7 linked regions of the Sus scrofa genome follow. The protein of the gene in region 3 purifies or fractionates together with the protein of the main gene of each other region. This does not show direct contact. Links are inferred from orthologs where the notes say so. Each region holds a gene or a part of one and is shown on either strand. Other genes may lie near its edges.

What was found.
Region 1: the proteins of CRK (region 3) and EPS15 purify together in Homo sapiens (affinity purification with mass spectrometry; 3 studies listed by BioGRID and IntAct, with this or other methods). This does not show direct contact. The link is inferred for Sus scrofa from reciprocal best matches to the Homo sapiens genes CRK and EPS15.
Region 2: the proteins of CRK (region 3) and NEDD9 purify together in Homo sapiens (affinity purification with western blotting; 3 studies listed by BioGRID). This does not show direct contact. The link is inferred for Sus scrofa from reciprocal best matches to the Homo sapiens genes CRK and NEDD9.
Region 4: the proteins of CRK (region 3) and SHC1 purify together in Homo sapiens (affinity purification with western blotting; 3 studies listed by BioGRID and IntAct, with this or other methods). This does not show direct contact. The link is inferred for Sus scrofa from reciprocal best matches to the Homo sapiens genes CRK and SHC1.
Region 5: the proteins of CRK (region 3) and EDC4 purify together in Homo sapiens (affinity purification with mass spectrometry; 3 studies listed by BioGRID and IntAct, with this or other methods). This does not show direct contact. The link is inferred for Sus scrofa from reciprocal best matches to the Homo sapiens genes CRK and EDC4.
Region 6: the proteins of CRK (region 3) and PEAK1 purify together in Homo sapiens (affinity purification with mass spectrometry; 4 studies listed by BioGRID and IntAct, with this or other methods). This does not show direct contact. The link is inferred for Sus scrofa from reciprocal best matches to the Homo sapiens genes CRK and PEAK1.
Region 7: the proteins of CRK (region 3) and MAP4K5 purify together in Homo sapiens (affinity purification with mass spectrometry; 4 studies listed by BioGRID and IntAct, with this or other methods). This does not show direct contact. The link is inferred for Sus scrofa from reciprocal best matches to the Homo sapiens genes CRK and MAP4K5.

Annotation. Positions count from the first base shown.
Region 1 is NC_010448.4:160,652,514-160,656,617, forward strand, and holds the start of EPS15 (epidermal growth factor receptor substrate 15), read left to right. Parts: upstream 1-1,304; 5' UTR 1,305-1,524; coding exon 1,525-1,557; intron 1,558-4,104. UniProt on the Homo sapiens protein: Involved in cell growth regulation. May be involved in the regulation of mitogenic signals and control of cell proliferation. Involved in the internalization of ligand-inducible receptors of the receptor tyrosine kinase (RTK) type, in particular EGFR.
Region 2 is NC_010449.5:8,090,754-8,094,886, reverse strand, and holds the start of NEDD9 (enhancer of filamentation 1), read left to right. Parts: upstream 1-1,333; 5' UTR 1,334-1,510; intron 1,511-4,133. Other genes in the region: TMEM170B (transmembrane protein 170B), read right to left, coding at 350-669. UniProt on the Homo sapiens protein: Scaffolding protein which plays a central coordinating role for tyrosine-kinase-based signaling related to cell adhesion. As a focal adhesion protein, plays a role in embryonic fibroblast migration.
Region 3 is NC_010454.4:47,682,397-47,686,427, reverse strand, and holds the start of CRK (adapter molecule crk), read left to right. Parts: upstream 1-1,231; 5' UTR 1,232-1,996; coding exon 1,997-2,063; intron 2,064-4,031. Other genes in the region: uncharacterized protein LOC110255905, read left to right, coding at 520-716. UniProt on the Homo sapiens protein: Involved in cell branching and adhesion mediated by BCAR1-CRK-RAPGEF1 signaling and activation of RAP1.
Region 4 is NC_010446.5:94,825,834-94,829,049, forward strand, and holds part of SHC1 (SHC-transforming protein 1), read left to right. Parts: intron 1-159; coding exon 160-286; intron 287-1,831; coding exon 1,832-2,030; intron 2,031-2,119; coding exon 2,120-2,189; intron 2,190-2,268; coding exon 2,269-2,403; intron 2,404-2,856; coding exon 2,857-3,095; intron 3,096-3,216. UniProt on the Homo sapiens protein: Signaling adapter that couples activated growth factor receptors to signaling pathways. Participates in a signaling cascade initiated by activated KIT and KITLG/SCF.
Region 5 is NC_010448.4:28,488,109-28,492,226, forward strand, and holds the start of EDC4 (enhancer of mRNA-decapping protein 4), read left to right. Parts: upstream 1-1,318; 5' UTR 1,319-1,597; coding exon 1,598-1,682; intron 1,683-4,118. UniProt on the Homo sapiens protein: In the process of mRNA degradation, seems to play a role in mRNA decapping. Component of a complex containing DCP2 and DCP1A which functions in decapping of ARE-containing mRNAs. Promotes complex formation between DCP1A and DCP2.
Region 6 is NC_010449.5:57,441,870-57,445,941, reverse strand, and holds the start of PEAK1 (pseudopodium-enriched atypical kinase 1), read left to right. Parts: upstream 1-1,272; 5' UTR 1,273-1,340; intron 1,341-3,136; exon of another isoform or gene 3,137-4,072. UniProt on the Homo sapiens protein: Probable catalytically inactive kinase. Scaffolding protein that regulates the cytoskeleton to control cell spreading and migration by modulating focal adhesion dynamics. Acts as a scaffold for mediating EGFR signaling.
Region 7 is NC_010443.5:180,296,692-180,300,680, forward strand, and holds the start of MAP4K5 (mitogen-activated protein kinase kinase kinase kinase 5), read right to left. Parts: upstream 2,801-3,989; 5' UTR 2,513-2,800; intron 2,303-2,512; 5' UTR 2,194-2,302; coding exon 2,086-2,193; intron 1-2,085. UniProt on the Homo sapiens protein: May play a role in the response to environmental stress. Appears to act upstream of the JUN N-terminal pathway.

The sequences.
Region 1 (4,104 bases), on a different chromosome or scaffold from region 3:
GGATCCGGCGTTGCCGTGAGCTGTGGTGTAGGTTGCAGACGCGTCTGGGATCCCATCTTCCTGTGGCTCTGGCGTAGGCCGTTGGCTATAGCTCCCACTGGACCTCTAGCCTGGGAAACTCCATATGCTGCGGGAGCAGCTCAAGAAATAGCAAAACAAACAAACAAAAAGAAAGTATAGGAGTTTCAGTCATGGCTCAGTGAAAAACGAATCTGACTAGTAACCATGAGGGTGCAAGTTTGACCCCTGACCTCGCTCAGCAGATTGAGCATCCAGTTTTGCCGTGAACTGCGGTGTGGTTCGCTGATGCGGCTCGGATCTGGCATTGCTGCAGCTGTGGCATAGGCCGGCAGCTGCAGCTCCGATTTGGCCCCTAGCCTGGGAACCTCCATATGCAGCAGGTGCAGCCCTAAAAAGAGACAAAGAAAGTGTAGTCTGTGTCATGTTTGACTTGGCAGGAATTAAGGCCTTATAATGAACACCTAACACATTCTATGTATCAGAAACAGTCCTTATCATTGAGGCTCCCAGTCGAGAGAGCAGACAGATGGAAACGGTCATCAGGGTGGTGACTTCATAACGTAGAGAAGAAGTGTTAAAAAGAGGAGTGTGTAGCTCCGACTTGCGGAGGTCGGGAGATGCTTTGCGAAGGACAGGACGTGATCCTTGAGTTGTTTCTGGAGAACGTAAGAGGAGTTTGTCAGGTGGACCCGGGGAGGATTTAGGAATGCGGCAGGCACCTGAGCAGCTCCCAGTGCTCATTTATGGAACAATCTGAGTGTGGGAGGCAGCAAGTGGGTCAGGAAAGCATTCTTTCCCCCTCCCAGGTAGACTCTAGCTCCCGGAGGGAATGACTTTAGAGTCTTCTTTGTTGGTATCACACTGTAATAGCAGGTGGTTAAATGAAAAGTTTTGGAGTCAGACGTGGATTCTACTTCACCAGCTATCGAACCAGCTTACGTGTGACACCTATTTGTGTTTCAGTTTCCTCACTTGTGCAATATATTTATGTCTCAGTCCCTTCATTTATACAATTAAAAAATAAAGCGTCTAACATAGATTCTGACATATATAAAGTGCTGTTATTTCTTATAAAGATCTCATTTAATCCTCACAAGCAATCTGGACTTTGGATATAATTTCCCCCTTTTTTCAGAAGCAGAAGCTTAGAGTTGGCAGGTGACTTGCTTAAAGTTCTCGGGACAATGGAGAGCGGCCTCTGCCTCTATCTTCACAGGCCGCCCACCTTCATTTCTTTACGGGCCGGGTTTTCTCCGGCGGCCCCAAGAGTAGGCTCCGGTCCGGTGGCAACAACTCCGGCGCCAGGATTTGGGGGCCGCCGCGGCCTGCGCCGGGCGGGCGGGGCCAGGCGGGGCGGGGCGGGCGAGAGGAGGGAAGTTGTCGAAGTTCGGGGAGACGCCCGCCTGCCCGGGCCTCGCCTCCGGCCGCTCCCTCCGCCTCCTCCTCCCCCGGAGACCCCGTCCGCTCGTCCTTCCTTCTCCTCCCGTGCATGATGGAAACACCATGGCTGCGGCGGCCCAGCTTTCCCTGACACAGGTAACGCGGCCCGCCCGTCCAGTGGGCTGGTCGGCCGGTGTCCCTGGCCCCCTCCCCCACTGCCCTGTGGTTCACCGACCCGGGCAGTTTCTCTCGGGCCCGGGCGGGCGGGCGGGGCGACCGAGACGGAGCGCGCGCGCGCGTGTCTGTGTGTGTGTGTGCGCGCGTGTGTGTGTGCGAGTGTGACGGGGGGAGGGCGCCATCCCGAGCCGGCAGCTTCGCGGCGGCTGCCCAGACCCCGCCCCGGCCAGTTTGCGCCCCGGCGCCGCCCCAGGCGGCGCCCACTCCCCTCGACCCCTCGGTGCCCCTCGCCCCGCTCGGTCGGTGCCCACCTCTCTCACTCCGGTCCGCCTTCACCCACCCAGGAAGTTTCCTCCTTCCAGGCCACACGCTCCCCAGGTGAGCTCCTGTTGAGCTCGCGCGGATCAGCCTCAGCCCCCCCGGCTCAGCCCCGGTCCCTCACGAGGCTCGCCTTCCCGAGCCGGACACCCAGGACCCCTCCGAGCCAGGCTTTCCTTTCTAAACCGGCCTTTTCCTGCTGGAGTCCGGCGATAGCCCTCTCTTCCCCAGTAGTTTCCTTAAGTCAGCTCTCTTCCAAATAAGTCTCATCCCACCGGAGCGCACGCACCCTTGCCCTGCTGGCCCCGTCCTGGGATTCAGCCTCTTCCCCTCCTGATCAGGTTTCGTGCGGCGTCAGATCCCCAGATTCAGTCTTTCCCTCAGTTGTGCTACCACTCCTACTCTGTGGGGTCAACATCGCTGTCCACGCGGATAACAGGGAGTCATCCTTTAACAGGTGTGATGGTTCCTCCAGTCTCGGTGCTGGGAACGACTTGCTCATCCTGGGGGAATCTTCACCAAAACCTGTTTTCAGGGTCTTTTCCTTGCCTTTCTGCTTCCTTCAGAGCCCAGTCCTCGTGCTTCCCGTAAAACTGCTCAACCTCACTCTCCCTGGGAGCCTCGTGCCCCCCTCTCTGTAAAGAAAGCTTGTTGTAATCTTTCCATGATGTACAGGATGATGAGGGGATGTGCACCTGTCAGTCCCTTTCCACTTTTTTGACCAAACCCACCCCAGCCTTACTTTTCAGCCTGCTTTCTCCCGAGTGAGCTGGTGGCTCTGCACCTCTGTGCTGGGGCCCATGCAAGCCTTCCTGCCTGCCCTGTAGTATTTCCCTGCCACCTTGTAGTCTCCTTGGCCTGGATTTGTCAGGGCTTCTAAGGCAAAACACGGGGATAGGTTATACATTTGGGCTGGAGAGTTTTCCGTGTTGGGAGCAAGAGACGTGGGGGCATTTTGCCAAGCATTCTAAGATAGACTGAGTGAAAAATATTCTCCCCAGGAACCAGGAATCACATTGTAAACACGTGCCTCAGGTAAAATAAAAATTAACTTCAGCTTGCAGGAATTATCAGCTTCATAAGTGAAGTGTGTTTATTTCCCACTCTGGTGTTGCTTATCCTATTTTGACAAGCACATAATGGGGAAGAATACTTGGAATGTGGGGATTTTGTCTTGGTGGCAAATCTCTTTGTAAGGGTATTCCTGAAATTTGAGAAATGGCAACATTGACTTTTGAGTGTTCACTTTTTTGGAGTGGGCGCTCACTTTTTAATAGTCTAGTTAGTGATACCCATTAAACAAGATCCTTTAGGCAGGCTGTTGCTGTCTGGCTCTGTTAGCCATTTCCAGCAGGAGTTTTCCTTTCCTGAAGATTTTGTTCTCCTGAGGACTTGTATAGATTTGCTTCCTAGTTTTGTGCTTACTTTATTCTCTTCCTGTAAGACTGTGTTTTTAGTTTCTATTTACTCTCATTCATCTCTGGATATTTTCTTCAGGCTCTGTCAGTTTTATAGACAGTTAAATAATTTAAGTATGTTCTTGCAGTTATATATTTAAATATTAACCTGTACACAGAGTAAATACTGAATCAGGAATATAATCCTTCAGTGTTTCACATATGAGAGAACAAACATTGATGGTTCATTTACATTGAAAATCTAAATAAATCAATTTAGAATATTTTGATTTTAAGACATTAAGAGAGAATAAGATATACTGTAAAGGCTCAGGAAAAAGAACCTTCCCAAATGTTAATATATTTGTTATAATGTGCCTCCTTGTTATTTAAAAACTTGGCTGATTTGTGTTTTTTGATTTTTTTATCTGCTTGAGGCAAATAATCTGAAATAACAATGCAACCTGGTTTCACATTCATTATTGATCTGTTTACTATCACACCAACCCCCACTCCACCCCCAGCACACACAGACATAGGTATGCTTCAGGGCAGGGACTTCTTTCACTTCATCTCTCTCCTTCACTGCCCATCTGGAAGAAAGTGATTAATAGCTGGAAAACCTAAAGGACTCTATGGCAGTTACAAAGATTAAACAGATGCTGGAGTTAGTTTCTGCCTCTAGTTATGAGATAATAATAGTTTTGGAATAAGTTCATTTATTCAGTATTTGTTAAGTTTTTAGTATGTGCTATGCACTCTGCTAGGATTGTCTATAATTTTCTGCCTTCATCAATTAAGCAAAACTGAC
Region 2 (4,133 bases), on a different chromosome or scaffold from region 3:
GGAGGGATAATTGAAGGCTAACAGTACTCAAGTCTCAGCACTAACTCAATTCTGTGCGTACTACGGAGGCATGGGGGTCGCGGACCCTCCCCATGCAGGGAGCGGAGGCGGCCGTCGTGGATTCTCCCCCGGGAACTCTAGAGCCTCCGGGGGGGAAAGGGGGACCCTGGTTGGCGCCCCCGGAACAGCCGGATCCAATTAACAACATCCTCGCCAGGGGTCGGCACCGCGAACTGCCTAGCGAGCTCACGGGGGTGGGGCGGCGAGGAGCACTTCCCCTCCACCGGAGGGAGAACAGAGGCGAGGGGCGGCACCGCATCCCGGTCCCCATCCCGGGCGCATCAATTACCCGTGAGGTTCCTCAGCACCGTCCCGTGGGCCCAGAGGCTCAGGACCTGCTGCACCGACAGGTTGATCATGGAGTGGTCGCCCCCCTCCGCCTTCATCTTCCCCGAAGGGCGCCCGCCGCCCTCTCCTCGGGCACCGGGCGGCGGCGGCGGCGGCTGCGAGGCTACGGGGGCGGCGGCGTGTGCGCGGCTCCTCCAGGCCGCCGCCGCCGGGGGAGGCTTCGGGGCTCCGGGCTGGGCGCTGCTGCTGCCGCCGATGGGCCTCCGGAGGGGGGTCGCTCAGCGCGTCTCCCAGGCAGCCCCCTCCCCGCCGGGGAGACATTGAGGACGGCGGACGGGGGAGGGGAGGGGGCCGGGCGCTCTCCCGGCGCGGCCTCCGAGCGAGGACTCGGGGCGGTGGAGGCCGCTGTCGCTCCCTCTCAGGGGCAGCACGGCGCCGCGGGGGCCAGTCTGGTGAAGAGGCCGAGGTCACGCCGGGAGGCCCGGGGTGATGGGCAGTCGGCAGGTGCAGCCCCCGATGGAGCCCCGCTCATCACCACCAGAGCAAGAGAAGATCCGGGACTCCGAGAAGACTGCGGCGGCGGCGGCGGCGGCCGCGGGGGCACCTGCCGCCAGCCTGCCCACCCTCCGACCGCCGACACTCGAGGAACCGCCCCCTCCACCCGCGGCCGCCAGCGGGCCGCTCGTGCGCGCGCGCACGGGCCCCCACTTCCCCCTCCCTCCCCGGGGCCGCTGCGCATGCTCACTCTCCCCCTTCCCCTCCCGCGACCCGTCGCCCTCCGACAGCCGGCCGGCTTCAGAGCCCTCCTCCTCCCCCTCCTCCTCCCCGTCCTGGCGCGCGCGAGCTCGCGTGGCTGCTGGTGCCGAGCGTCGGCCCGCAGTGGGGCGGAGGGAAGCTCGGCCTACGTCACTAGCGCCACCGCCGGGCCTCGCTGCTGATTGGGTGCTCCAAGGGAACCACCTCCACGCCCTCCCTCCTGCCCCGCCCCCAGCCCCGGGCGCGCGCCCTGGGAGCGCTGGGAGCGCTGGGTGCGCCCGTGCTGCGCGCTGCTGAAACTCCAGGCTGAGCGGCAGCCCTGACGCAACGAGTTAGCAAAGTCCGTCAGCTGGTTTCTGTGACAGTTCGCATCTTTGGCTCCGAACGAAATCCTTTGGATAAAGAGGTTTGAGTACAACTTTTTTCGAAAGTGAAATTTAAACCCAACGTTTTAGGCTTATCAGTTTGCGAGCTGTTGAGGTTTTTTCGGGTTTTGTTTTGGGTTTTTTTTTTTTTTTTTTTTTTTTTTTTTGAGTCAGGAGCCCTGGGTAGGATAGGTCACTACTTGTGAAAGCCATTAACAGAAACAGACCAGGTCCATCCTTCGTCCAGTCCTTCCCACACCAGGAACTTGGGCCTCGAGTGGTTCCAGCATCTGAAATTACCTGTAGACACACGGCTGGGCAGGTGTCCTACACCCCAGTGCCATCCCGGGTCTGTCTCTTTTTATCAAAATGTAAAAGTCTCCGTTATTTCTTTTCCTCCCTCCAACGTAAACTAGGTCTCGTCCCATGGTTTTTGCTCCCTTTCTTCATGTCCACCGTTAGCCCGACGAGCTGTCCAAAATACTGCAACTCCTTGACATTTGGAACCTTTTATCTTAAAAAAATAAGACTGCAAGTCCTGGTAATAACAAAATATGCACTGGTCAGCCCCCGCCCCTCACCCCCGTCCTTTTTCAATCCCTTTACCATCTGAAAAGAAAGTCTACAAAGGGTGCTGAAGTTCCTGCTGTAGCGAAATCATCAGCTACATTTGGCAAAACGTAGAAGGGTTGAATCACTTGTAAAACGGTGTTCTTGGCGACGACTTTAAAAAGAATTATATATACGCATTTATACATGTGTGTATTTACATATGTATGTATGTGTCGACTGAAAAAAAAAAAACGTGCAGTGGAAGTGTCCTGAGTTAAGTTTTATTAGGGGCAAAAAGGAGGACTAGAGCCCGGGAGGCAGCCTCTGGGATGGCTCTGAGGAACTGCTCCCAAGAGGTGAGGGGGGAGGCCAGCATCTCTGTGATTTTGCTGGAGGGGCTGCATGGGCTCAGGCGCATGTTTGGGCAGAGGGTTACTGCTTGGTCACAAGATTGCTGCTGGTCAGGAGGAGCAGCTGTCTTTGTTAATTATTTTAGTGCTTTTCTAGATGGAAGATGCAAGAGGCTGGGGGGGAGGGTCATAAAATCTCCTAAAAATATCTAACTATCCGAGGGCCTGTTCTGCCAGTTTATTCCCAAAGGACAGAGTGCCTCATTCCTTATCTCCACCCAGAACTTCTTGCAGGGCGTGTGGAAGGTCAGCGGCTGCGGTGGCTGGTGATTTCGTTTCTTACAGAACCAGATGGCAAGAGATGTTTTTTTCATTGGCACATGTATTGTCTGTTTGATGTCACAGCACAAGAGAAAAAGGGAAATTTTGCATCATTCATAGGAACGGAGCCAAAACTCGAAATGTGGTGGTGTTTATGTTCTTCTGAGGATTTAGAACTAATCAGATCTTAATTTAAGATTGTAAAATATCGGACTTAGAAGAGGCTTTACTGTTTTTCTACTTCATAGTATTTTACAGATGGGGGGGGAAACAGATTCTGGGGAATTTAGTGATGTGACAGAGGTGACACCACTTCAGAGCCCAGTTTCTGAATTCCTAGTCTTATTAATTCTTTCTAGCAACCACATCATCTTCTTAAGTCACAGTCAACCCCATACTTTTAAGAAAGGTTCTGGATGGGCAGATGCAGGTTACCTAAACATTGCCAATAAGAGATTTGGTATTACATGGCTAGTGATATTGGAGAATGTGACTACCTTCAGTGAAGGATAAACCTCGGAACAGCAGCTCATTCAGCGTGCACATCAGGAGCTTTTAGTTGACGTGGAGTCATTGGGGCTCTTATTATTGCTCACTATTATTTGAAACAGGGTCGCATACTTTTAATATATTCAGAACCTGGGACAGTGCCTAGCACGTGGTGTTCAACAAATATTTGCTGAATGAATCATTGAATCAACGTCAGAGAAAGGTCAGCATTTTTATTGTTTCACATAAAGTTTTTTTTAATGGAACTTAAGTGTTGATTTTAAGAAATGAGAAAGTAAGACACAGCAAGGAAGCCCCAAAACTATAATGCACTTGATAAGCAGACAGTTTTTCCCCTGCTTTTCAGTTCAGTTCAGTTTATTTATTTGGCATCTGTTATCGGTGATAATGTTCTATGCTAGACCTTATCTATAGGATTTGGAGATTCATAAGGTCTCTACCCTTTAGACTGACACCTTACATTTAACTTGTGCTCGCCCTGGTAAAGCTCATGATACCCATCACGATAAAGCAGAGAAACAACATGTGTCTTATTTCGTCTCCCCAGTAAGATATGGCACCCCTAGGGTGTCAGGCCCCCATTATGGGGCTGCTGAGGGATCTAGGCCTGCCCAGAAAAGGGCAGAGAGCTGCTCCGTATTGGCAGTGGGATGTGACCTCCATCCAGAGTCGTGGAGGGTCTGACACGAAAGGACAGACAGGTACATTTTCCACCTTATTCTGTGCCCTCCCTCCACCCCTGCCTACAAACCACCTACCTTCCAGTTTCTGCTACCTACTGCTCCCACCCCCATGTAGGTCCTTGTTTATTATCCTATCTTCAAAAGAAAGAAAACATGACATTTGAACTCAAGAATTTACACTTTGAAGCCTGAAAGTCAGTATAAAGAAAAAGACTGTTAAAAATCACACACACACACACACACACACA
Region 3 (4,031 bases):
GAGATAGCAGTGATCGTGACGGCAGGGAGAGTAGAGGATATCCAAGGCCAGACTTAGAGAATCTGGGCAGATGACTTGAAAGCCTCAACAGAGAGGACTCCATATGTCTCCTTGACTTGGCACACTCTGGTCCCTTTGTCTTGAATGCTTTTCCCCAACTGCCATTCAATATTCAGCTCAAGCCACTGGGAAGTACTCTTGGGTTCCTCTAAAGCATGGATTAGGGGGCCCTGCTCTATGTTCCTAGAGCCCCTTGTCCTTACCCCCATCAAATGGCTTGGCATCCCTTCGTCATGGCCTGTTTCCTGGTTCCTCCCACGGGGTCTGAGAATTCCCCGAGGGAAGGGCCCAGCCTAGATGACCTCTGCGACCGAAAGGCAAACGTGGTGTCAACTGTTTGCTGAATGAATCAGTGAAAACAAGAGCTTAACAGATCTGAAAATATTCAGAAAATATTCGTCTCAGGGAACTCAGGCCCTGAGGCCACATCACCTTTTCTACTCCAATTCTGTCTCCTAGTTGCTGCCCAGAAGCACCGGGCCTTCCAGGAAATTGAAGCCTGGACTAGCCAGAACCGCGTGGCCAACAGCGCACAGACAAACTTCTGCGGACTGCTAGTTGAGGCCCCGCCCCTCGGCCCTAGACGCCGCCTCTCCACTCTCTGCAGTCCCTGTCCCCACCAGGCGGCGACGCCCAAGAGTCCGCATGCGCAGTGAGCGCGCGAGCCGCCCCTTGCCCTTCTCCCAATGGCGGGCGGCAGTCCCCTTCCCGGCATCCTCCCGGAGGCAGGGAGTACGTCATTTCCGGTGGGGAAGGCCCGCGGCCGCCGCCGCCATTTCAGGCGCTGCTGTGAAGCGGAGACCCGAGCCGGTCCGCTGGGCGGCGGGCGCCGGGACTGGAGGGGCGCGCGCGGCGGCGGCGGCCCAGCGTGTAGGCGCGGAGTCGGCCATGGCGGGCAACTTCGACTCGGAGGAGCGGAGTAGCTGGTACTGGGGGCGGCTGAGCCGGCAGGAGGCGGTGGCGCTGTTGCAGGGCCAGCGGCACGGGGTGTTCCTGGTGCGGGACTCGAGCACCAGCCCCGGGGACTATGTGCTCAGCGTCTCCGAGAACTCGCGCGTCTCCCACTACATCATCAACAGCAGCGGCCCGCGCCCGCCAGTGCCACCGTCGCCCGCCCAGCCTCCGCCCGGTGAGGGACGGAAGGGACGGGAGGCCCCGGGCGGGGGTTAGGGCCGCCGAACTCCCCAGCCTAGCCGGCTGCTCCTCGAGAGCTGACCCCCACGAGGGACTTGGGCAGCGGGCTGGAGTGACCGTGGCCGGAGGGCAGCCCGCTGTCCGGCTCGCTCCCACGGACGAGCGGGAGTGTGTGGGGGAGGAGGAGCCGCTGACCCAGGCCTCTGGGTGTGACTTGGGAGGACAGCCCAGGGGAAGGGGAACTGTTTCGGCCCCAGGGTGGGGCTAGCGCCCGTGCAGGGCCAGGCAACGTGGGGACAAAGAGCTGAGGGGGATGTTGGCACTGCGGGGGCATCACTTGGCAGCGGTGCCCGGAATGAATCCGATAATCCTACAAGTGGCTTTTTAGGCTTGAAACATTTCCTGCAGTGTTGGAGAGCCGGGTTTGGCTATACTCCCCTGGTGGCCTTTGGTAGGAAGTCACCGCATACCGGCCGGGAGGGATGGAGACACCCTCAGGAAACCGGTCAGCTTTTTCCTTTCTTGGGCATTTTTCCAAAATACTTTTACCGTCCTCTTCCCCCGCGGAGGACGAAGGTGGTGAGCTAAGTGCCTTGGTTATAGAAGAAAGGTCCCCTGTCACCAGCCCAGAATAAGCTGATGCCCGGCTGACTGTGCCGAGGAGATCCTGGTGTCCAGCGACTGTCTTTGACAATTAAGGGGTTGTAGTTTTCAAAGCGAATAGTGGAGGAAAGAATTTTTTTTTTTTTCAGGAAATAAACCAGATATACGCCAATGGAAACAATCCCTTCCCTGAAAGTGAATGGAACTTCATTTTTCCTTGGACTTCAGCATTGTCAGTCTTATACTGCAGGGTCTCTCCTTGCTCAGTAGGTTGGGGGTTGTTGCCTGAATTTTCCTAGATATGTCTGTCTTATACATAACATGGGCTGTTTGGGGAGTGTGAAGAGGATTTATGCACTTGGTACTTGAAGTTTGTGAGGTACAGAGTAATTCTGAGGCTGTTGTTACCTGTGTAACAGCACCTAGGGTCTTAGTGCCTTTTCACGCTCACCAAGCTGAAGCAGTTTCCTCCTGACCAGTTGAAACTAGATTCAGGCTAGTCTCACATGAATTGAAAGTCTCCTGAACTAGCCCTTTGCAGACTTGCCCTTTTAGAATAATCCTAATTTAGATTTATCCCCTCTGACCCGAAATGGGAAGATGAAATAGTTTCTCTTGTTAACACATACCAATTTTAAAAAGAGTGTGGAATCTTTAAGCCCACAAATTATCCTAGGTCTTTCTCAGTCTGATTGGTTTTATAACATTATAACCTGAGATGGGAATAGGTATGTAACATGTATTTACCCTAAACCGGATGTATTCGAGTTTTTACCACCTTCCTAGTGTCTGGGGTTTTGCGTTGCTGGGCAGTGACACAGCAAATGATCATTGGAACTCAATTCTTGACCTTTTGTTTGTGTATGTGTTTTGTTGGTTACAAAATTTGGAAATGGCAGGCAGTTTTGTTTGAGCTTTCCCCACATCTTGGTGTTAGAACTTTAATCTCAGATCTTACCTTAATACTGAGCTCCACCTTTTCATAACAGATAGGAGGTCAGATCCTTGGCCCAAGAGAGAAGGTGAAGATTGCCAGAGTTTGTGGATGGGGTGTGGAAAGTTCATGGCTATTGTAATTGTTCTTTCCGCCATGTACCCATTTTCCACATAGGGCAATTGATTCAGTTGCGTCTTTTTAAAGATTACTTAATCTTTGTTCTGCCCAGCCCCCATTGAGCTCTTTTTCTTTGGAAACCACACAGAAGAATTTCTTGAACTTAAGCATATACAATATTAATAGCTAACATTTATCGACTGGTCATTCTGTGCCAGGTACTTTGCTGAGTACTTTAGTGCCTTGTCTCGTTTACTGTCTATGACAGTCTAGTGAGGAAATTACTGTGATTTCCATTTATTAAAATATTTACATTTTAGGGAGTTCCAGTTGTGGCTAAGTGGATTACAAACCCTACTGGTATCCATGAGGATGCAAGTTTGATATCTGGCCTTGCTCAGTGGGTTAAGGGTCTGGCTTTGCCATGAGCTGTGGAGTAGGTCTTATTTGTGACTCAGATCCCTAGTTGCAGTGGCTGTGGCATAGGCCAGTGGCTACAGCTCTGATTTGACCCCTAGTCTGGGAACTTCCTATGCTGGGGGTGCAGCCCTAAAAAGCAAACAAAACAAAGCAAAATTCCATTTTGCAGGTAAAGAAACAGGGTCAGAAATTCAGTAACTTGCCCCAGGTCACACAGCTAGTCAATGACTGAGCCGGAATTGGAACCTAGGAATTGTGACCTGAGATCAGACACTATTGGACTGTGTTCTTTTTTTTGTCAAAGCCAGTTTCCTTTTGAGATCCCTTGAGGACTGAACACTTTTGTCATTGTCTTGGGTCCCAGGTTCTGCTTAAAGACCAAAAGGAAAGGATGACAAGAAAATGGCCTTCAAGAGTTCCCGTTGTGGTGCAGTGGTATCTATGAGGATTTGGGTTCAGTCCCTGGCCTTGCTCAGTGAGCTGGGCATCTGGCGTTGCCATGAACTGTGGTGTGGGTCGCAGAGGTGGCTCCGATCCCACGTGGCTGTGGCGTAGGCCGGCAGCTATAGCTCCAATTAGAACCCCTAGCCTGGGAACTTCCATATGCTGCGGTTGCAGCTCTAAAAAGCAAAAAAAAAAAAAAAGAAAAAGAAAGAAAGAAGATGGCATCTGCTGTCTAAAGTCAGTGATGCTGAGGCTTTTAATAACCTTTTTTGGCAGATTGAATGTGGGAAATAAGCTTTTTGTTTAGGATTATATA
Region 4 (3,216 bases), on a different chromosome or scaffold from region 3:
TGGGGAGCGCTGGGTGGGGCCGGCTGTCAGAGAGACAGGTGAGCAGGACCCGGGAGCTCAGCAGGGGCTCCTGCTGCGGAGAATGAGGGCGAGGGCCCCGTCTGTGCGTGCCCCCCGCCTTCCCCCCGAGTTCCCTGACAGCCTCTGCTGTGCCCCCAGCCTGCCACATCCTGGAGTGTCCCGAAGGGCTTGCTCAGGACGTCATCAGCACCATTGGCCAGGCCTTTGAGTTGCGCTTCAAACAATACCTCAGGAACCCGCCCAAGCTGGTCACCCCTCATGACAGGTGAGCAGGCGAGCGGTGGGGGGGGGCAGCTCTCGGGCTGGGACCGGAATTGGAAAAGTAGGTCTGCTCTTCCCACGCTTGAGCTCAGAGAGGAGCAGGGAAGGAAATAACCTGTGAGCCCCTGCTTCCCACTTCCTGCTATTCTTACGTTTCCTGAGGCCATGGGGAAGGCCTTTCGAGGCCCTGCCTGCTGCCAGGCCAGCTCTTCCTCTCGGGTGCCCGTGCTGGAGCTGTAGTCCAGGGCCGCCCGCTCCAGCTCTTCCTGGCTGGATGGGCTTTCCTAGTCCCAGCCATCTCTTTCTGGCCTGTCCCTCTCTCTTGCCCATTTCTCCATATTTAGTGCCTTCTTGCCCCTAGAAGCCATCAAGAATTTGGGCGAGGGAGCATGGCTCTTTCCTGAGATCCTTACCTCTCCCACTTCAGACCAGCAGTGTTGAGAATTTAGGGGAGGTTAAAATATTCCAGAGGGAGATTCTGTTGTGGCTCAGCGGTAACAAACCCGACTAGTATCCATGAGGATTCAGGTTCAGTCCCTGGCCTCTGTCTCTGGGTTAAGGATCCGGCGTTGCCGTGAGCTGCGGGGTAGGTCATGGCTTGGATCTGGCATTGCTATGGCTGTGGTGTAGACCGGCAGCTCCAGGTGCAATTTGACCCCTAGCTTGGGAACCTCCATATGCTGTAGGTGGAGCACCCCAAATAGTGGTGCTGCTTCCCCTCCCTCTTGGGAGACAGCATAACGATCGAGGGCATGCCTCTAAAGTCAAATTTGAACTTATGTCTCTCAGATTCACCACTTTTTATTTTATTTTTTAATTTTTTAAATTATTTATTTATTTAGTCTTTTGAGGGCCACACCTGTGGCATATGGAGGTTCCCAGGCTAGGGGTAGCATCAGAGCTGTAGCTGCCGGCCTGCGCCACAACCACAGCAACACTGGATCCTTAGCCCGCTGATCGAGGGCAGGGATCAAACCTGCATCCTCATGGATACTAGTCGGGTTCGTTCCCACTGAGCCACGACAGGAACTCCTTCACCACTTTTTTTTTGTTTGTTTGTTTGTTTTAGGGCCACACCCATGGCAGATGGAGGTTCCCAGGCTAGGGGTCTCATTGGAGCTGTTGCTGCCAGCCTACGGCCACAGCCACAGCATCGCAGGATCCGAGCCTCGTCTGTGACCTATACCACAGCTCACGGCAACACCGGATCCTTAACCGACTAAGCGAGGCCAGGGGTCGAACCGGCAACCTCATGGTTCCTAGTCGGGTTCGTTTCCACTGCACCACGACAGGAACTCCCTTCACCAATTTTTAGTTGGGAGACCAGGGTAAATCTTTTCACCCCCGACCCTCCCTCATTTTCCTCATCTACAAAATCGGAGAAGGAAATGAAACCTACCTTCTAGGGTTGCCAGGAGGAGGACATGATTCCATATATAAAACACCCCACGTCAAGCCTGCCCCTCAGGGATTGCGCAGTCCATGGCCGCTGTTCTCTTCTCCCTCCGTCCTCCCTCCCACGTGCCTCTCTCCTTCCTGTCCCTCCCAGGATGGCTGGCTTCGATGGCTCAGCTTGGGATGAGGAGGAGGAAGAGCCGCCTGACCATCAGTACTATAATGACTTTCCGGGGAAGGAGCCCCCTCTTGGGGGGGTAGTGGACATGAGGCTTCGGGAAGGAGTGCCCCCAGGGGCTGCTCGACCCACTCCCCCCAGCGCCCAGACCCCCAGCCACCTGGGAGCCACACTGGTGAGTTGCTTGGGGGGGAAGTGGGCTGGGCCCAGGACGGGAGTGGCTGGTTAGGGCCTCTGGCCTCACCTGATTTTTTGTCCCTTCAGCCTGTGGGGCAGCCTCCTGGGGGCGACCCAGAAGCCCGCAAACAGATGCTGCCGCCTCCACCCTGCCCAGGTAGGAAGGGGGCTGAGAGGGGCAGAGCCGGGGTGTGCGAAGCAGGGCGGGGGTCGCTGTAAAGCCTCCCTTTCTTCAGCAGGCAGAGAGCTCTTTGATGATCCCTCTTATGTCAACGTCCAGAACCTAGACAAGGCCCGGCAAGCAGGGGCCGGGGCCGGGCCCCCCAATCCTACTATCAATGGCAGTGCACCCCGAGACCTCTTTGACATGAGTAAGTGCGCCTCTGTCTTTCCTGCACCTGCCTCTTCCCGCTGGGTTCCTCTTCTTCTTTTTTTTTTTTTTTTTTTTTTTTTTTTTGTCTTTTTGCCATTTCTTGGGCCACTCCTATGGCATATGGAGGTTCCCAGGCTAGGGGTGGAATCGGAGCTGTAGCTGCCAGCCTACGCCAGAGCTACAACACCAGATCCAAGCCGCGTCTGTAACGTATACCACAGCTGACGGCAATGCCAGATCCTTAACCCACTGAGCAAGGCCAGGGATCGAACCCGCAACCTCATGGTTCCTAGTCGGATTCGTTAACCACTGAGCCATGACGGGAATTCCTGGGTTCCTCTTCTTTTCCTGCTTATCTGCTCTTTCCTTCCTGGCTTCCCCTCCCTGAAGGTCTGGGCCCTGGGCATGTGTCGTGCCAGCCCCCCTCCTAGCCCTCTCTCTGCACCCCCAGAGCCCTTCGAAGATGCCCTTCGGGTGCCTCCACCTCCCCAGTCGGTGGCCATGGCCGAGCAGCTCCGAGGGGAGCCCTGGTTCCACGGGAAGCTGAGCCGGCGCGAGGCCGAGGCACTGCTGCAGCTCAACGGGGACTTCCTGGTGCGGGAAAGCACGACCACACCTGGCCAGTACGTGCTGACCGGCTTGCAGAGTGGGCAGCCCAAGCACCTGCTCCTGGTGGACCCTGAGGGTGTGGTGAGTGTGGCAGAGGCATGGGTGGCGTGGCAGGAAGGACGGTGCAGCACCCTCCCGGGCAGCCCTGTTCTTGCCCTCACTGCTTCCTAGACTTGGCCCGACGGGCACCTCTGTCTGGGCC
Region 5 (4,118 bases), on a different chromosome or scaffold from region 3:
AGTCCCTTTCGACTGAGGGCTCAGCAAGACCAAGTGAGCAGAGGTTTGAGGGATGAGGGGCCTGTTTTATCTACAGAAGAGTCAGGATCACATCTAGTGTGCCCCATAAATCCCAGGCCAAGCAGAGGGCAGCCTAGATGCTGTACCAGCTGCTTTGGATATCATTGCCCAAAGGGGAGTGCCTTGAATAGCCAGCCTCCAATGCCCACAGATCCAGGCCTAGTTGAGTTGGAGTATAGATTTAGAGCTGTAAAAGAACGCAATCTGAGTTTGAGTGATTCAGGTTCTAGGATTTCTCACCTCTGAGACCTCTGCAAGGCATCTCTAGGCCTCTTCCTAGTCCTTCCCTTACCACACACCCACCCACCCCTTCACATTATCTTCAAATCCCAAGAAATCTCTAATACTGAGGCAGTTTCTGCTCCTCAGTTTGGGGAACAGGACTTGCCTAATACAAATCTGGCCCTTTAGCCCTGAGGCCTTGGTGGTGTAAAACTGGTAGCAGGGTAGCAACCACAGGCTAGGACCAATCCAAGGACTTGGGCTGGTGTCCTGTAGGGGTTTTAGGATTGGTGAGGGCACCACAGCTTTGCTTGACCTTGAACACCACCTCCCTCCCTCCTGCACTCTGGATGGAAGCCAAGGACTTAACTCAGACCCCCACTTGTTGCCTGGCTACCCTGGGCACAGAGCTGGATGGTGTGCTGTTTGGAAAGACAGCATACTCAGGAGATTTCAGTGAGACGGATTTCTAGGCTGCTGTGTTATTTGGGGGGTGGAGGAGGTTGGGGAGAGGCAGAAACCTGCTGCCTCTTAAACCACCCTGTATAAAATCGGCAATACAGCTTCTTCCATGTACCTGTGCCTGAAATGTCTGCAATAAAGAGGTGTTTATATTACTATGGTTTACTTTCTTTTTGCCCAAGGGTGCCAAGACATGCAGGGGGATGCTGGGGGACATTAAGGAGTGATGTGATGTTTGTGGAGACAATCTCCCCTGCCCATGCAATTCCTGGGTCCAGGATTTCTCAGATCCCGTCAGGCCTTGGGTTACAACCACACGCTTCCTGAAGGGGAAACCGAGGCTTCTGTCAATCCAACTTGTTCCTGGGGCATCTGAGTGATTCACCTTGGCAACCGAATTGACTTGGTCCTAGGCCCATAGGGAGTGGATTTGGACCAGGTGGGATATCCTGAGGCGATCAGAGCTTTGGGCGGTCCGGTAGCTGGACATTTTGCTCTCCTTCAGCCCTGCGGAACTCCTCCCCCTCACCCCGACCCTATTAGTCCCGGGGCGGGACCGCGGTAGGGACGGGCTTCAGGAGGGTGCGTGGCGGCCACCCCCAGCCCGGAACCTTTCTTCTCCGCCCAGGGCAGGTTCCGGGAGCCGAAGCTCGGGCGGGCCGGAAGTGGAGGCGGTTGGTGGGGTTGGCGGGGCTCAGGGACGCGGCGCGGGCGGCGGTTTGCGAGCTTCAGGTGGACGGAGTGTGGTGACTGGCGTCCCACTGTCTGGCCCTGGCTGGGTTGTGCGCCCCTGGACGGTGCGCGGCGTCGGCGGAACGAACGCGGTGCGGACCGGGCGTCCGCGGCTGGGCCCATGGCCTCCTCCTGCGCGAGCATCGACATCGAGGACGCCACGCAGCACCTGCGGGACATCCTCAAGCTGGACCGGCCCGCGGGGGGTGAGCTGGGAGAGTGGGGGTGGGCCCTCGGCGACCAAGCAGAAGGGCGGCGCGAGCCTCGACCACCTTCATGGCCCAAGGGTCCTTGAGGACCGGCTCTTCATCCTTTCTGCCGGCGAGGGCGACGAGGGTGGGAGCGGCACATCCCTGAGCGTGCTTCCCAAAGGGCGCAGACCCCCGTGTGCAATCCTTCCCTGTCCCGGAGTCCGGCCGTTCTGCCTCGTCCTTCAGCGTTTTGGCTGAAAGTGAGGCCCCTTCTCTGAATCCGCAGAGCCCCTTAGGTCTCCTGGCCCCAGGGTCTCTAGTGTTCTTGGGACTGGTCCGGGTTTCCTACCCTTTTTGCCCTAGTTCAGACGCTTAGTCTGGGCTCTGTATGCCAAATTCTGGGTCTAGATTTAGGCGCTTATGCTGAGGAGCCGCTGATCCCCCTCTGCACCTTGCCCTTCCTTCTTGAACAGACTCCAGGCCTGAAACCCATTTTCAGGAGGAAGGTGACCAACCCCAGTTCTGTGTCCTCTCTGGCGTTAAGATATATCACCGAGCTCACAATCCTGATTGGATTAGGCTACAAAGATCTGCAAGCCCCAGTTTATTTCCATTCATTTAAACTTTGCAGTGGTGCTTCACAGCTGCTCCTGCCCTCAGTGAGCCCCCTGGACACAAGAGCTAATGAGGTGTAATATAATGCTCTTGTCTCTGAAAGAAGGGTTTTGGGACTGTGATGGGGAGACGGTAGGTGGAGAGGGGGCTGGAAAGTGCCTAAGAACAGATCTGAGAGAGGAGACAATGTTTAGGCTAAGTCTTGCATCTTGGACAGAGGCTTGGATGTCAGAAAAAACATTCTACAAAGAGGAAATGACACGTGTGACTACCAAAGTTGCCTGGCAGGTTCAGGGGCCTGTGAAAAGCTGTAGTGGTCGAGAAACTGGTAGGTGATGGTGATGTGGATGGGCAGTGGCCAGAGCTGAGAATTGGTGTGTCTTCAGATCCTGTTCTTAAACCTGCTGGAAGGCCCAAACTGACTCCTTTTGGAAGCATGCACTGGTGCCCAGTCTTGGATTTAAGGACCTTTCCCTCCTATAGAAAATCCACATGCTGCCTACCACTGAGTCCTTTTCCCCAGGCCTGGAGTGCCTGCTGCCTTTACTCATAAGCTTGGCTTGGGCCTCTCATGTCAGCTGCTGTGCAGACTGGTCTCCCCAAAGGTTTGGTAGAGCCTGGTGTGGGTAATGCTGTGTAGTTTGTTTGTTTGTCCTCATGGTAGCCTGCTTGGGAGGCAAAGTGGTCAGCTTACCCTGAGCAGCTAAGGTGGCTCTAATGTAAGTGAAGAGGCCTGTGGGCTTTCCTCTTAACTCCTTGTTTATTGATTGGTACTTGATTTCCCACTTTGCCAAGTTACCCTTGCTTGTCTCTACTCACTGGAGAACCATGTCAGACCCCAGGCTCTTTTGTGATGAAAAACTTGCCATATTCCTGAATAGAAAGCCCTAGTCTCTTTGCCACCTGGGAGTTTTGGAGGGGTGTCAGAACCTATGCGGGTACTTGAATCAGTCAATGGCAGACAACTGAAATGCTGTCTCTCCTGACTCACACCCTACCCCATAATTTCTCTCCTCTTTGTCCAGCTCCTTCATGTCCATTCCTCTAGGGTGGGTTCTTCTGAGCCATTTCTGTGTGAGGCAGTCTCCTTCCTTTCTTATTCTCACGTCTTATCATGTCTTTCCATGCCTTAGGAGCCCAGCCCCTCTTCTCCAGCCCCTCCTCTACTTTGGTCTAAGCCCTGGTACCTCTCACCTGAATTCTCAACTCTCCTGCATGCTACTTTAGAGCAGTCAATCCTCTGGCATAGCAGACCAATTCACTTACCCATTTAAAACTCTTATGGCTCTTATTACTACAGGAAAATCTAAGCAACCAGCCTCATACATGAGACCTCTGTAGCCTTGTTTTCCCTCCATCCTTCCCATCTTTGTGTGTTATTGCCACATTGGCTCTGGAGTTCCCATTGTGGCACAGTGGGATTGGTGGTGTCTCTGAAGCGCTGGGATGCAAGTTTGATTCCCCAGCCCAGGACAGTGGGTTAAGGATCCGGCATTGCCACAGCTGCAGTGTAGGTCACAACTGTAGCTCAGGTCTGAACCCTGGCCCCAGGAACTCCATATGCCTTGGGGCAGCCAAAAAAGAAAAAGAAAATAAGTAAATAAATCACGCACTAGCTCTGATGGCACCTCTTCTGTAAAGTCTGTCCTGACCCTTCCTTTGCCCTCCCTCAAGTACATAGAGTCCCTCTATGCTGACCCAGGGCTGCGTATTAATTGGCCTTAAAGAGGCCATGATAACTTGAGGACTTATACTCCTCCCCTAGATAGAAAAGCCCCATGCTCATCCTTGGTCCTAGCATACATCGGGTTCACCATCAGTGTTTATGGAATAAGA
Region 6 (4,072 bases), on a different chromosome or scaffold from region 3:
TGTGTACTAGTTCTGAAAGTTTATGCCTAGTAATATCTTGTATCATGTCAATGTACATTTTAGTCTCTAAAGCAAGTCATGTAGCCAGAACTAAGCTGAAACAGAACAGTAAAGTGCAATTCTGTGAGGTAGGAGGAGAACTGGAACAGCACTAATGCTTAATATCTTATTTAAAAAATGACTCTAATTTTATTGATGAAAGATAATATCTCAGTTTGATTTCTTTTACCAATGTAGATGAAATTTTCATAATTTATTAGCCACTAAAAAATTTAGTCTTTCCTTTCACTTAAGCTTTGTAATAAACATGTGCTATTGGTTTACTTTTACATTTCCAGATTTTTGAATTCTGTTGTCTTTGTGAGGATAGATCATGATGGTGGTATTATAGGGGGTGCAGACCTTTAGAAAATGCCTTTTCTTTTGAAAACTCAAAAGAGGAAAGAAAGATATTTTTCTTGAATCAATCCCCCTCACCCCCGCTAATATAGTGCACATTTTTTTTTTTTTTTTTTTTTTTTTTTTGTCTTTTTGCCATTTCTTGGGCCGCTCCCAGGCATATGGAGGTTCCCAGGCTAGGGGTTGAATTGGAGCTGTAGCTGCCAGCCTACACCAGAGCCAAAGCAATGCAGCATCTGAGCCATGTCTGCGACCCACACCACAGCTCACGGCAATGCCGGATCCCTAACCCACTGAGCAAGGCCAGGGATCGAACCTGCAACCTCATGGTTCCTAGTCGGATTCATTAACCACTGAGCCACTGAGCTCCTATAGTGTATGTTTTGATAAGTTTTTTATTTCAAGAATTGTCAAGAGAGTTCCCATTGTGGTGCAGTGGGTTGGGGCCCAGCATTGTCTCTGTGAGGGTGTGGGTTCGATCCCTGGTCTTGCTCAGTGGGTTATGGATTTGGTGTTGCCACAAGCTGCAGTGTAGGTGGCAGATGCAGCTCGGATCTGGCCTTGCTGTGGCTGTAGCATAGGCCTCAGCTGCAGCTCCAATTCGACTCCTAGCCTGGGAACTTCCATGTGCTGCAGGTGCGACTGTTAAAAAAGGAAAAAAAAGAAAAGAATTGTCAAAATTTTAAATAATTATAGACAATAATTATTGTCTAGCAGAATTAAAATCCTTGCCATTCTACAGGTTTCGCAAAAACAACTTCAATACAAAATTTTAGAAGGTGTAAATGATCAAGTTAGGGTTCTCCTCTTGAGAAAATTAAGTTCCTTTCTCAGGTTTAGTCATATTGACCCTGTCTTTTTCCTTTTTTCAATTCAGGTATCTGCCTAAACTGGAACCTTTGCTGTAGACATTTCTTTGTGGATTTATCTGAAAAACTAAGGTGAGACATTTGGTGAATACATTTGCATTTTAAAATATGTTTTGTAAAAAGAAAAGAATGGATAACAATAAAGATTTTGCAGTAGTAAAGAAAAGATAAATAAAATATGTTTTGCAATAAATAATTGTTTCTGAAAAATGTGAGGCATTAAAAATGTAATGTCTTTTCCTCTGAGAGTGTTAATAGGAGGCAAATATTTATTATAAAGCTACATATATAGCATGCTTACTTAGTTTGTAGGACATTTGAAACAAATGAAGTTGATTCTAGTGATTAAAATAGTTTTGAGTGAATTTTTCCTTTTTTTTATACTCAAAGATAGAGTTTACACTGTTACTCTCTGACACACTTGGAAAAGATACTGGCATTATAATCAGATATTCTTGAAGGCAAACCCTCAATTACTTAAGTCATAGATTACAACTGGTAATTATTTTAATAGTACAGTTATTAAGAGTTTTCTATCACTCTGTTCTCTTGAAGTTGATTATTTTCTATAGTTTCCTCTGTTTGGGGGCTTATAAAGTAAGGATGTATCCTTTTTGTATGTTCGTGTTTTTTTCCTATAGATAGCATTTCACTCTAATGATAGTATTGTAGCCCTGTCCCTCTGCTTGTATGTCTTGGCTCAAGTCTTCTCTACCTCTTAATTTTTTTTAGTGAACCTTTAGAAGTCTGTCATCTGGTCTTTCCATCAGTTTCCACTTTGAGTTCAGCTTTTCTCTAAGCCATTCTTGTCACACTTATGAGGGTGCTTTTTCTTAAAGATAAATGACATAATTTTAGTCCATGACTCAGAATCTTTCAGTACCTTTCCACTGTTTAAAGGATATTTTATAGATTCCTTTACAGAGCAGTATAATCTGTTTTATATTCATTTTTCCATCTCACTAGTGCTCTAGGAATGTTAGGAACTAACATTTAAAAAACAGCTTTACCGAGAAATCATTTACAAACCGTAAAATTCACCCAATTATTTAAATTCAGTGGCTTTTATTATATTTACAGAGTTATGCAGTTATCACCAATTTAATTTTAGAATATTTCATCATGCCAAAGAAACATCAGTGCTTGTTAGCTATTAGTACACATTCCTCCCTGTACTCATTCCTGGTGGCTTATTAATCTACTCTCTCTCTCTATATCTGCCTATTCTGATCATTTCTTATAAATGTGATTGTACAATATGTGGTCTTTTGTGACTTATTCCTTCCTTTTAGCATAAAGTTCATCCATGATTCAGCATGTACCAGTACGTCATTCCTTTTTATGGCTGAATAATACTCCATTTTATGTGTCAGGAGCTCAGCTGAGTTAGAGAGAGAGAGAGGCAGGGGGCAAGGGTAGTGCTGAGCTTCCAGGTGTCAAGGTATCTGATTAAAAACACTGATCCAAATGAGAGTAGCAGTCCAGCCTTTATTCACTTATTGGGATAGTATAAGCAAGAGGCTAAAGATGAGAAAGTGCAGGCCCCCTCACTCAGGTGAATCAGTACCAGGTGGGGAAGGGGGGCTGTCTTACTGCTGAGGGAGGCAGTTTTATGGATCCAGAGCTGGTTGGAGGGAGAGCTGGAAGGGCTTCGAGTGGAAAAGTGCTGAGTTAGAATAGAGAAAAAGTGTCTTTAATGTTTCCTCCCTAATGAGAAGATCCCAGAAGAGGCACCTGAAGAAAGGCCTCAGCTGCAGGTCACAGATAAAGAAACTTCTGAAAGTAGGTACCTGGGCTAGGGATGCAGCTATGCTAAAGAGCATGGTCTGCTGGGAGTGGGGTGGGGGGCTCAGTCCTTGACTGTAACTCTCTTCAGAGACTGCAGTACACTCACTGTGCACCAGTCTGCTGAGGGGAGGGCAGCTTTCCCATATGAGGCCTGCCAGGTAAAGCCTTGGTAGTGGTTTATGGTCAGGTTGGAAAAGTCGCATGTAGATGTCTTGATTAGAAGTTAGACTCCTCGTTTTTCAGGGCTCTTTGCAAGGGTACTGGATGCATAGTTGCAAGAAGGTAGCAGTTGCAGCAGTTGTGTCTAAAGCTTCACGATGTTTCCCTCAGCCAAAAATGCACTAAGTCGTCTTGGAGTTCGAAACATTCAGCAAACAATGGCAAGGCAGAACCACCAGAAGTGGGCACTTGATTTCCATGACAAATATGGTAATGCTGTATTAGCTAGTGGAGCCACTTTCTGTGTTGCTGTATGGGCATATACAGCAACACAAATTGGAATAGAATGGAACCTGTCCCCTATTGGCAGAGTCACCCCAAAGGAATGGAGAGAAGAATAATCATCCCATCTGGTTTAATACTGAATTGTTTCAAAACCACCTCATAATTCATGCCAAGTAAAAGCACTGCGTACCCATTAAAGTATGGCATGATTGAAGAAATAAAGTATATTTGAAACCTTCAAAAAAAAAGGTTAGACTCCTCATTAAACATATACCATATTTTTGCTTATTTCTTCATCAGTTATTGGACATTTATTTAGGTTGTTTCCACATTTCGGCAATTATGAATATTTTGCTGTGACCATTTGTATTTAAGTTTTGTATGTACATATTTTCACTTCTTTTGAGTATATACCTAAGAGAAGAATTGCTGGGTTATTTGATAAATCCATGTTTAACATTTTGAGGTAACTGCCAAACTCTTTTCCAAAGAGACTATCATTTTACATTTACACCAGGATGTGTGAGAATTTGTTTCTCCATATATTCATCAACATTTGTTATTGTCTTCTT
Region 7 (3,989 bases), on a different chromosome or scaffold from region 3:
AAGGAAGAGCAAGCAGACCAGTGTGGGTAGAAGAGAATGAAGGAGGGGGAACAGCAGTAAATGAGGTAGGAGAGAAAAGGAGAGAGGCTGGGGCCTCCCAGAGGAGCACTTGAGTAAGGCTTTCCTGGACAGGAAAGATAGCAACAGTTGGAAATGGGAGTAGGAGGTGATTCTAGGTAATTAGAACAAAGGAAAACGGAAGACAAGGGACCAGAGTTTTGAGAATGTTTAGGAATCAGAAGCTGTTCTGGTGTGGAATGAGTATACAAGTAAATGTGAGGAAGCATGAATATGAGGGAAGGGAACTGTCTGGGGATGGGTGATAGTGGTGTATGATAAATATTTAGTCTTTGATCCTCGGTGAAGGAGCTATGAAAGAGAAAAGATAGGGCAGGGAGGCACCAGAGTAAAAGGCAAGCATTAGCTGCCCCTTTAATATAACCCTTTGCTTTCTGTGAAAGAATAAAACCCTGCTCCAGACACTTGCTTCAGTTATTATATTTATAAAGAAAAAAGGTGGAGTTCTTGGGATTTTTATGGAGAAAACACTTTAAATTTTCTTGCAGTGGGGAGGAGAGAAAAATACAAGAACTAAAATTCAGACTATTATGTTATTAACATGAAATGAATTGAGCCAGTCTAACACATAGTGAATCATAAGACGAAGATGACTAAAAAGTGGGACTGAGAAAGCAGACAGGAATTTCAATTTTTTAAAGAGCATTCCACAAAATGACTAATCCATGGATAAACAAGTAAGAGTTAACTACCTCTAATTTTATATAAAGAAGATTATTGTAATTACCCACTCTGAATTAAAATTATTCACACGGCAAAAACTGGAACCTTCCTCTCACAATTCAGCATCCCATACTAGAACAGTGTCTAGTACAGAAGATTCAAATGCTGTTTTAAAGGATAAAAAGCCTATCCATTACAGTGCATCTCAACAGACTCAAACAGTGCTAGAGCTGTCATAACCCAACCTTGAATTGTTACTATTAACAGAGAGGATATTAAAAATAGAAGTTAGGAAGAAGGGATATTTTCCTTCCATATTACCACCTGTACAAAAACAACATACCCCAGAGGAGTGTTCTGGTTAATTACCCAAGGCTATTTCAGCTATATGCAGGAGTGTTGTTTAGAATAATGGGATACATGACATGATCAAATACAATAAACAAAGCTTTTGCAAAATCAAAGGCAAGTTCCCTTAACATACCCATATGAGTTACATTAATGCTCCCTTTTTGGAACAGAGAACAAAAAAGCATAAGGCAATCTGAAACAATCTCTTTCCTCTTGATCCTTCAAGAACTCGGTGGATTTCGGGAACTGGGTTTGCTTGCCTGTGACTTTTTTTTTTTTTTTTTTTCAAACTAAGAGTAACTCATTCCCATCATTTGTCTCAAATAAAGCAAAAGAGCACAATTAAAAAGACAGCTGCTCTTAACTATTCTGGGTCATGGGATGTTATCAATCCCAGAGAGAGGAATTGCCAAAGAAGAATTAGAAAATCATCATCAGATACAAATGCCAAAACTTCTACCAGGAAAAGCATTGTTCTGCATAGGATAATGTTTGTGCACACATCACTTTGACCCAGCATTAGACTACTTACAGTTAAAATTGAGAGACTGGGGTTTCAAAGGACTTTTTAAAACAGCATCATCCATCAAAAAGTTTTTTGTGAAAATGTGAGAACGTCAATATATTTCCTTGTCTACTGTCTTCCAGGAAGCATTTTTTCCATGTTAAGACAAGAATATCCTCAAGCGCAACTCCATAAGCAGATTCGAACTTTCTTGGATACCATAAATAAGCATTAAAAAGCCTTTATACCACACACACGCACAAAAAAAGTACAACGGTGGTTCGCAAAGGTGTAGTTAGTTCTGCTTGTTGGAGCGATCAGTGCAAGCATGGATTAGAAGGCGCTCCGAATGGAGTAAATGGGACCCGGCCGCGGCATCTCCAAGATGCAACAACAAAAGCATCCTCCTTCCTTCTCACACTTCCTCAGAAAGTGGCCCTATTCCCGGGAGCCAGCGGACCGCAGGAAAAGAGCCTGGCCTGCCTCACCTTATAGACGTCCCCGTAGGTGCCGCTGCCGACCCTCTGAACGAGCTCGTAGTCTTGCTGCGGGTTCCGCCTCAGGATGTCCGCGGCAGGCCGCAGAGGGGCCTCCATCTTCGTTCAGGGCCCGGCCCCCGCCGGCTGTGCCCGCGGCGCCCCGATTCCCGCTAACGAGGACGAGCGGCGCCGCTTCCCAACATGGAGCCTCTGCCCGCAGCTCCGCCTGCACGAGGGACGAGCAGAGGCTGCAACCCCGAGCGGCCCAGTCCCGTCCTTTCCGCCCCAGCGGGAGCCGCTACCAGCGGGCCTGGAAGGGGTCCCCAGCGCCCCGCCGCTGCCGTGTTCCGGCCGCGGCCCTTCCCCCTCCCTGACCGCCCGCGAACTGTCGGGCCGGATTCTGCCCGCCCGCCGGGGCCCGGGGCCGGCTCGGTACCTGAGGGGGGCGGCCCCGCTCTTTGTTGAGCGCCGCGCCCAGGACCTACTTCCCCGCCGGCGCCTGCGTCTTGATTCCCGGCGCCCGCCGGCCCTCCAAGTCCAGCTGTGCTGCCGCCGCTGCCTTTCGCTGCACCGCACGTCCTCTCGCGGGCGGCGGAGGCGCGTACCGTCGCCGCCGCCGCCGCACCACGTTCCCCACCCGGGGCTGCGTCACCGGGAGACACGTTCCCGGCCAGCGTGGGTCGGCGCCCAGCGTCCCGCCCGAGCGCGCCGGCCGCGAGACCAGAGTGCCGCCCTGAGGCCTGCTCGGGACACGACACTCTCCCGGCCGGGCCGCCGCGCCCCCCTGGCCCGGAGCGTCCTTTCCTGAGCCGGGCTCTGCTCCCCACTCTGGGGGTCACGGACGCCCCCGGGCATTCTTGGGCTGACGCGCCTCCGCTAAACCGCTCCCAGCTTTGTCAGGTAAACCTGGAGGGTGGCGGGTAGAGTAGTAGGGTGGGCACGAGGGCGATGGGAACGCAGCCCTCCCAGTTGAGAAAATGGTTCGTTGAGGGCACTGAGCCAGAAGTAATCTGGCAATGGGGCGCCCGGGAGGGAGGTGGGGGAGTGCCAGATTAACTAAGTCGCGGCACACCCAACTGCACCTTCCTGTTTTGCAAACCATTCCCAGTGGTACCAGTTTGAGGCTGCACTGCACACCTGCGCAACCTGTCTTCCACTAAGTTTTCCCAAGACATTTCCGAAAGTCGGAATTCCTAGGAAGTCTATGTGGTTCTTATCCCTGTTGGGCACACGCAGTGTCTCAGCGCAGGTATTGTTCCTTTAATTGGGTCGGGAGTTCTGCAGCAGCTGAAAATCAGGGACCACAACCTGGTTCTGACTCTACCACTTACTCAGTATGTGATCTGGGACAAAAAAGACATCCTATTTGGCAATATCTCCACATCCTTATCTGCAGCTTGAAGAGGGTAGGGTTTTGCATCCGACACCTGAGAAAGTGTTTATAAGGCATTTTACAAGATTGTAAAGGGCGTTATCAAATATAAAAGGCTTTTTAACATACTTCACAATGCACAGAATATGAAACAGGAGTTTAGGGAAGTAATTTGGCTGAATATTTCACAAGCTGTTTTGTAGTTTCACTTCCAGTCTTGTTCCAAGGTAGAAATAAGGTTGCCAGATTGATTTTGTTTGTAGAGCCCAATGAAGGTTTTGAACAAAAAAATTCAGCTAACACTTGACCAATCCATTTAGTGACTGAAAAATCACAAAAGAGCAAGTCACAGATGCTGGCCTGTAGCTTTGAACATCCAATTCATTCCATTCTCGGGCAATATATCCCTTATTGTTGATCATTGTAATCAGTTTGGTAATGTACAAATTAACTTCACACCTTAGCTGTACAGGGAATATATGTATTTTTTTGTGTTCCATGCACAAAGAGCACTTATTTAGGGAACATAAGTAAGCTCAGA